Drosophila melanogaster: one gene and its partner. The protein of the gene in region 1 purifies or fractionates together with the protein of each later gene. This does not show direct contact. Each region holds a gene or a part of one and is shown in the gene's direction. Other genes may lie near its edges.

What was found.
Region 2: the proteins of CG4278 (region 1) and isoQC purify together in Drosophila melanogaster (affinity purification with mass spectrometry, with the first as the bait; one large-scale study listed by BioGRID). This does not show direct contact.

The regions. Positions count from the first base shown.
Region 1 is NT_033779.5:16,325,381-16,328,883, forward strand, and holds CG4278 (uncharacterized protein), read left to right. Parts: upstream 1-1,688; 5' UTR 1,689-1,776; coding exon 1,777-2,655; 3' UTR 2,656-2,749; downstream 2,750-3,503. Other genes in the region: mRpL4 (mitochondrial ribosomal protein L4), read right to left, coding at 2,750-2,969, 3,032-3,503.
Region 2 is NT_037436.4:20,472,273-20,477,518, forward strand, and holds isoQC (iso glutaminyl cyclase), read left to right. Parts: upstream 1-2,193; 5' UTR 2,194-2,254; coding exon 2,255-2,371; exon of another isoform or gene 2,372-2,519; intron 2,520-2,689; exon of another isoform or gene 2,690-3,114; coding exon of another isoform or gene 3,115-3,225; intron 3,226-3,292; coding exon 3,293-4,240; 3' UTR 4,241-4,731; downstream 4,732-5,246. Other genes in the region: CG32428 (uncharacterized protein), read right to left, coding at 369-702; CG5969 (uncharacterized protein), read left to right, coding at 1,626-1,697, 1,760-2,005. UniProt on the Drosophila melanogaster protein: Acts as a glutaminyl-peptide cyclotransferase. Responsible for the biosynthesis of pyroglutamyl peptides. Might be more efficient in the conversion of tri and tetrapeptides in vitro.

The DNA.
Region 1 (3,503 bases):
CACTGAGGTAGATTTTTTATCTCCCTTTTCACACAGCTTCCTTTTCGCTTTTTATTTTCTGCACATGTTCTGGGTTTAAACCCCAGCACTATTTTCTATGGATTTCTCACTACCTTGCTGGTTAATTGTCTTGCGAAGCTGTCTTTAAAACGCGTATTTATGGTTTAAATGTTTGTAATCTGCAATTCGCATAGTACCCGGACGCACGTCTGCTTTCTTTCACGTTTCGATAGCGAATGAAATTGAGGGAGCGCGCTGATATGTATATATTTATATGGCAGTCTATACTATAAAGCCCCGTTTGCACTAAGAGTTATCACGAAATGAAGAGTCTCGATTTTAAATTTTCTTTACTTAGAAAACTGTTAATTGAAAAAAATCTATTTTTTCATATTTGCCCAAAAAAAATAAAATTCTAGACTTGAAAAGACCGAAGTGAAAACGTTTGCCTTAATATATCGACGATGGAGTGTGTAATCGGGGCTTAAATCAGTTTTACATGTGTGCGAGGGAGACCATAGGGTTGCCAGATAGTAGGGAGAGCGCCAAGTTAAAATCTCCCAACAACAAAATGAGCAGCTAAATGGTCAGCTGCAACAAAAGCAACCACAGCAGCGATGCGTTTATTTATACTTCTTACTCTCTGATTGTGTGATTGTTTAGTTCCTCGAGCGAAGCCACTTGATGTTGATGCTCGGCGTCCTACGGTTGAAATGCGTATGACGGCGAGGCGGACAAATATCTGGGAAATCACCCGCTGACCGAGAACGGAAATGAAATGCAGGATTCTTTCTTCGGTTTTTCACAGGTCAGCTTCGATTGAAACCTCGACCAATTCTGAATTTCATGGGATATTCTGAGCGACCGATTTGTCATACACTCTCCTTCTGGGATTTTTTAACACTCAATCACATTTTATCGCCAATTCATGAAATATTATATATACGATTATTTTGGTTTTTACAAGGTTGTATTGATTAAAAAATTATCTGAATCCAAGAAATTTAGAGGGGCTTTACAAGATTATCAGATTCTTACCATAAAACCTGTGTTTACGGTCACAAGTAGTTTCGAAAGTTTTTGCTCGCTTTTTTAATTTAAAATTTAAAATTCCGCCTCTCGTAGTTGTAAAGTTATTTATTATAACAAATAGGTTATTAAAAAATCGGACTTGTTTCCTAAAATTTTGATTAAATTGCTGGGAATTTGTAAATTACTCTTCAGTTTTAGGGGTTTGGTCATTTCCTTGTCGGGTTTTGCTTTTTGCTTTTGTATGACTTAATTAAATTATTCTTTAAAATTTAAATTCTTCGGCTTCCGATTGAATTTCTTGAATTATTATTTATCAGGCGTTCGTTTTTCTATTAAAAACAAGTGTTTGGTGCCAATCTGATAAATTTATTAAGGTATATAAACTTTTTAAATATTTTGTTAATTTCTAATTATTTGTTTGCTATAACATAAACTTTTATCGTTTTATTAAAACTGTTTTGCTATTCTCGTTATTATAAAATCCAAATATTCATTAAATGTTTTTCTAACAAAATTACGCAACAAAAATGTGACCTGCTAATAAAATTATAGTAGTGTTTTTTAATGTTTATTAATATTAACCAATTACTTTATCGCCCAATTTAAAAATTGCGGGTGATAACAGATGATTTTAAGAGCAGGTAAAACAACAAAAATTAAGTTGGCAGCACTTACCGGCCAATAAGTCAATTGCACAAAATCTTAAACGCAGGACCAGAAATATTTTGCAAAGGACGTCAAGGAATGCTGAGAAGGATGAACACTTTTAGTGGTCAAAAGCTGGCGGCTGTGGTCAAGGAGCTGGAGAACTTTGCTCCGACTTCTTGGGCAGAGAAGTGGGACAATGTGGGACTCCTGATCGAACCGCACCGCGAAAAACAAATCAAGAAAATACTATTAACTAACGATTTAACCGAGCCCGTAGTGAAAGAAGCGCTAGAGAAGGAGGCGGAGCTCATAATCAGCTATCATCCGCCAATTTTCAAGCCCCTGACCAGGATTACGCAGTCACATTGGAAGGAGCGCGTGGTGGCAGCATGCTTGGCCAACGATATAGCCTTGTACTCGCCCCACACGGCGTGGGATAAGAAGAGTGGTGGCGTCAACGACTGGCTATCTAAGGCAGTGAATATCATCAGCATCCGCCCTCTGGAACCGGAGTTGGGTGCTCCTCCGGGTACCGGATCCGGTAGATATATAGAAACCAAAATGGAGCTTTCCCAGGTGGTGGAGTCTCTGCAAAAGCGCATTAGAAACAGCGTGCACGTTGCTCTAGCTGTGGGCCACACCCCCAAGACACTCATCCAATCCGTCGGCATTTGTGCCGGCTCTGGAGCATCTCTGCTGAAGGGTATCCAAGCGGATCTTATCATTACCGGCGAAATGTCCCATCACGAAGTTCTGGAGTTTACTCACAACAATACCACCGTTCTTCTCTGCAATCATAGTAATTCAGAAAGGGGTTTTCTCCATGAGTTTTGCCCTATATTGGCCAAATCTTTAAATGAAGAATGCCTGGTATTTGTATCTGAAGTGGACAAGGATCCTCTGGTCACCGTGGCTAGCGATATAAACAAAGAACTAAGCGCATTTGTTGACGTCTACAAGAGCACATCAAAATAACTTTGATCTTATAAGCATTTTTTGTTTAACAATGCATTTTCTGGCGCATCCATAAAGGTTACAAATAAACTAAAGGATTTAACTTTCTTAACTTCTAGACTTGATCCAGCTTAAACTTGCCGCCCTTGCTGGCGGCGTCGTTTCGATTAAGTTGGTAGAGCAGGCGCTGCTCCAGATGTTTCACTGCAGCCACTGTCAGCACCAAAGTATCGTGCTTCAGCATAGAATAGACGTTCAAGCCAAAGGTTGGCATCAGGTTGACATAGCCCAGATCATCGCTAGCCTGGCAAATATTGGCGGGGAACATATGGTCTCTGAGAAAAACAGAATCAGTATCAATTTACATATTATATGTTCACCTACAAGCAGAACTCACTCGTCTACAATCAAAACAGAAGGTCCCCAATTCCGTTCGGCGATTAAATCCTTAAGGAACTCTGCATCTCCGGTGGGTATGTCCACATTATCGATGATGTGCAGATCATCCTGGGCCAGCTTAACACTCAGCGTGGAGGTCAATCCTAAAACCCTCTTATAGAAGGGCAGCATGTAAAAATGGGTCGTAGGCGACCTGGGTCCGTGCACTACGCCGCCGCCCTTCAGCATGGGCGAACGGAGGGAACCGTGGCGGGCACGACCACCTCCCTTTTGGGGCCACGGCTTCCGACCACCACCGCGCACCTCCGCTCGAGTTTTGGTGTGCGCCATGCTTACATAACGATACTTGCTCTGCCACTCCACATTCTCCTGTATGATGTCCACGCGCGGCTGGGCGGCAAAGACATCCGGATGCAGTTCAATCAGGCCAACCTTTCGCTCCGCCACAGCATCCGTGTTCTCAATCCATG
Region 2 (5,246 bases), on another chromosome or scaffold:
GGTGTGTTCCGGTTTTTAAATTCATACCAACAAAAATGCCTTCAATACTCATTTAAAGTTAAATTAATATCATATTTGGTTCAAGTATAATTTGAATTTCATTGCAAGTGTTAAATTTAAGTTCAAAATGGTTTGAGACACTAAAAAATGCAACCATTACTCTTAAAGGATTGAGTATAACATAATAATATATTTCTGAGTGTTTTCTGAAACTAATGAGGATATTTAATATTTAAAGGCTGCTCGACAACAAATTTATTTATTGGAATTATTGCATGTGCAATTGCTAAGTAAGCCTAATATAAAACTGCCTTAAACAATTTAATAATTAAATAACTAAGCTTGCATTTTTGAGCAGCGATACTCACCATTGCAGTACTGGGCGGCCAAGTCAGACTCGTCGTAGCGACATCTCTTGGTGTACACCGGTTGGTCCGTGTCCAAATCCCCGACAGGATTGTGACCGGGATTCAGGCGCTTCTTGCAGCGCAGGACTTCCGGAGGCAGGACGACCGGCATCGGTTGTGCCGCGAGGTTATTGCCATCATTGTTGTTGTTGTTGTTGTTGGCGTCGGTCATGAAGGTGACGGCGCGTGGATTGAACGGATCCATCGAAGGACGCAGCGCTCCAGTTTCGAAAGTGGCGGCCGCCGACGACGACGGATCACCATGTGCCCAGCACTCGAAGTTCGTCAAAACCATCGCGCGCCAGCTGCAGTGGAATTTCCCCAAAAAAACCGAAAAGCAAGTACAGTAAATTCGGAAAAAACGCTCCTCTGCGTCCGTACTGTACTGTACGAAATCGTGCGGCGAACTGCAGGCGCGTATTTTTCCCCTAATTGAAATCGTATTTGTATGCAGTATGGATTTTGATGGCTCTGTCGGCTTAATAAGCGCCGAAAATACGCAGCAGTTGCTAAAATGGATGAAATAATTCAATTAACACACGCAAGCGGGGCGCGCGAGCATTCGGCCGAAATGCGACTGTAAATGCGGTGACGGCAACTGTTAAAAATAAACCAATAAGCAAGTTTTACATTTTGCCGCGTGCGCCTTTCGATTCACGATTGCTCTTTTGTTTTCCTTTCGCTCCAGTGTGACCACACTGCTGGTGTCGCAATAAGGCGTGCGACCCTGGAGAAAAATACCGAAGAAGTTGCGAAAAGACAGCTGTGGTTGCAAAAATAGTGCAGATCTTATGAATCTCATTGGAAGTCATGGAAACTTATAATTTATATATATTTATATTTATAATTATCGAAAATCGCGAAACAGCGTACAATATGTTACTTGAACAAATATGACACTTCATTTTGTATACCTAAAGAAATAGCTTCAATACTTCTCTTTTATTTTGATATAATTTTAACTTTTTACTCAATTAAAATGAATTAAAAAATGAGAATTTAGTTGAAAATATTTCGATAGCAACGATACCAACGATTAATCGACTAGTCGCAGTATTTTCTGGTATATTTTGAATGCTGGCACGGTACTACCACTTTATCATGTGATTTGTGATTTGTCAAATATTTCTGATAACCGAATGGCAGACCAAAGCAAAACTAGAAATTGAGAGAAATTGCTGATTTTTCAATTAAGCTGCATTCTATTTAACTGAAAAGATGTCGACCAAGAACAAGAAAGCCGCCGGAGGCAACGGAGTTGCGCCGAAACAAACCCGCCAGCAGTCGCACGTATGTAACATGACGGCTCCGATTGCCGGCTAGCTAATCCCTTGTTTATTTTGGATGCCCAGGACTCGCAGGACTACAGCTCCTTCAAGACAGTGCTCTTCTACTGCATGCTTATCGTTTTCCTGCCCGTGCTGACCTTCTTTGTGCTGAAGGGCTTCGTTCTGGACCAGTTCCTCGACATTTCCGAAGTCAAAGTGAACATAGCATCCGCCGTGGGAGCGGTCGTTGCATTGCACATCGCCCTGGGACTCTATATATACAGGGCCTACTTTGGGGCACCCGGTTCCAAGGGCTCCAAAACGGACTAATCCTCATCTACCCCGGACTGTTACCCTATTTCCATTAACTTTAAGTCGGTAGAGCACTCTTGTACATACATACATGCTACATATATAGATACAATTGTTTACATGCCAGCGAGGGAGGAGAAAGTCGCCTGTAAACCGTGTGTAATCGCTTTTCATTGCATAAGTTTCGATAACAGCGTGGAAAACGTGTTGTGTTGTGTAGTGTTCTGTGTGCATAATTTGTATTAAAAATATACATGCATAAGTGAAATGCGTCTGCTACTCAGAAATTATTCCCTAATGGAGGCCGTCAAAAGATTGCTGCCGAGACCGCGCAAAAAAATCTACAATCTAGGCGCTTGCTTCGAACTGGTGGATATTCCTAAGGTTAACTAAAACATACATTTATTTGTACTCTCTGCTTGAAAGGGGAGTTCTGTATAAAGTATACTGACTTCGGGGATTTTATTATATTGATAAATTAATTTTATGTTTTTGAATTTTATATTATATGTTTTCTTTTTGATTGAAGCACAAATTAGTCATTTTATTATTTTGTAAGAAGAGAATGGCTAGTGAACTGAATATTTCGTGTAACCATTGCTTAAGACCCCTGCTCATTAAATCTAGACACGCCCGTGACCTGTTTTTATGGGGGTGCCACCTGTTCGGGACTGGTGCTGCCACCTGATACAAATGGCAAGCAGCTGTTTAAATAATACGCGTAAACAAAACGATTTTGGTTGAATTAGTAAACAAGGAAATTAAATGATTTTTGAGAGGAGTGCAATAAATTACTGATGGGAAACAAATAGACACCCACAACGAGCGTTACCTATAGACAGTGTTATTTTCGTTAGCATTTTGACCCCCTTTGCGACGCCCATTTTTGTTATTTTGTGCCTTACAAGTCGGCCGTAAAAACTGGCCAAAATGATAATTTAATAGACTCGCCAAAGGGTCTTAAGTACAAGCCGGAGTGTGCCGCAAAATAGTTGCGCAGCCGGATGACCAATCTTTAAACTTCTTACGAACCTGCCGCTATTGATTGCAACCACCTGTTGGGACACAACACTCCCACCGCCGAACAAAAACACTCAGCCACGTAGTCTTAAGTCAGTCGGTTAAATATGCTACATCGAACAGCTAGAATGTGGACGCTGTGCGTGCAGACAGCTTTGATAGCCACCTTGGTGAGGGGATCCACTTCCCAGAAGGATAATCTCGTAGGAAGAACACAGGTCAATGGAGGGTAATGCAGCTAAACCAACCGCCTGCTTAATATGTGCTTTCTTTTAATTCAAACAGATATCCTACAATCCCAGCGAGCTCTCCGAGCCCCGATTCCTGGAGTACAGCAATCTATCCGATAAGCTACACCTAAGGGAAGCCATTGACAAAATCCTTATACCTCGAGTTGTGGGCACAACAAATCATAGCATCGTTCGCGAATACATCGTCCAGAGTTTGAGGGATCTAGACTGGGATGTGGAAGTAAACAGCTTTCATGATCACGCTCCCATCAAAGGCAAATTGCATTTCCACAACATCATCGCCACCCTGAATCCAAATGCTGAGAGATATCTGGTGCTGTCCTGCCATTATGATAGCAAATACATGCCTGGAGTGGAATTCCTGGGGGCCACCGACTCGGCAGTGCCCTGTGCCATGCTCCTCAACCTGGCCCAGGTGCTTCAGGAGCAGTTGAAACCCCTCAAGAAGAGCAAACTGAGTTTGATGCTCTTGTTCTTCGATGGCGAGGAGGCTTTTGAGGAGTGGGGACCCAAGGACTCCATCTATGGAGCACGACACCTGGCCAAAAAGTGGCACCATGAAGGAAAACTTGATAGAATAGATATGCTGGTGCTCCTGGATCTGTTGGGAGCCCCCGATCCGGCATTCTACAGCTTCTTCGAAAACACCGAGTCCTGGTACATGCGTATCCAGTCCGTGGAGACACGTCTTGCCAAGTTGCAGCTCCTGGAGCGCTATGCCAGCAGTGGAGTTGCCCAGCGCGACCCCACCCGCTACTTCCAGTCGCAGGCCATGCGATCCTCTTTCATCGAGGACGATCACATACCCTTCCTGCGGCGAAATGTGCCGATCTTGCACCTCATTCCGGTGCCCTTTCCCAGTGTATGGCATACGCCCGACGATAACGCCAGCGTGATCGATTATGCGACGACGGACAACCTGGCACTGATTATACGGCTCTTCGCTTTGGAGTATCTGCTGGCCGGAACCGAGGCCAAGTAGTCAAGTGGGCTTCCGTGTGAATCACAAATGACAAATGTTGTATCTACTTCAGGCCTTATCTAATTGACCTGTTCCAGTATCGGAGCATTGTTGGAAGTTCTTATGCCCGCCGGAAGATCCCTAGAAAACCTTGTTGTAACCGACTGCGTGCTTTAAAACTAATAAGGGAAGATCTGCAACACGCGTACTCCAAATATTTTTATACACATGTATTTATAGAAAATGCTTAGCTAATGACACGTCAGGTTTATATATTTTTTGTAATCTTTCGGTTGTAAATTGTTTCACTTATGTAAGTTAACTAAGTTAACCGGACTGATTGTCCGCACACCAGCACCGGTCAAATTGCTGACCAAGCATTTGGCCGGAAGCTCATGCATAGCCGGCAGAAGCTCTGCGCATTGGCAGAGGCCGCTATGATGTTTTTCCCTTTGTTAGCTTATAGTCAGTTTGATTTTGTATTCAATAAAGAGCGCATCGCGCCTTCAATCAACTCCAGCTACTGCTGTTATCATTGAATTGGTTGGCTAGCCTTAAGGGCAGTCAACAACGGAGAGACGTTCTCCCACCATATCTCCCAATCTAGGAGAAGAGGTCTGCGGCAACCGCCCTGCCTCCCAGTGACAGAGGAACCCCCCGTTACCTGCAACCTACGCCGGAGACCGCGGCGAGGGACCTGCACCTTATATTTAATTAATTGGCACCCAACTCCAGGAACCCACACCACTACCCTGAATCATGTAAGTGGGATTCTCAACTTAAACACTACTCCAAACTGCGTCTAGAATTTTAAAATATTTGGGATGTTTGTGCGAGTTACATAAATAAATTAAGAAAATCGGCATTTCCACTACAATAAACGTTTATATGTGTTGCGAATTAAGATTATGTTACTGTTATGAAGTTTAAATATCGAATTTTGATTTGTGGTTGACTTTGCAATCCATATTGTGTGCATTTCATTCCGCCTTCGCACATCCGCGGGACACTGTCGTTTCATTCGAAA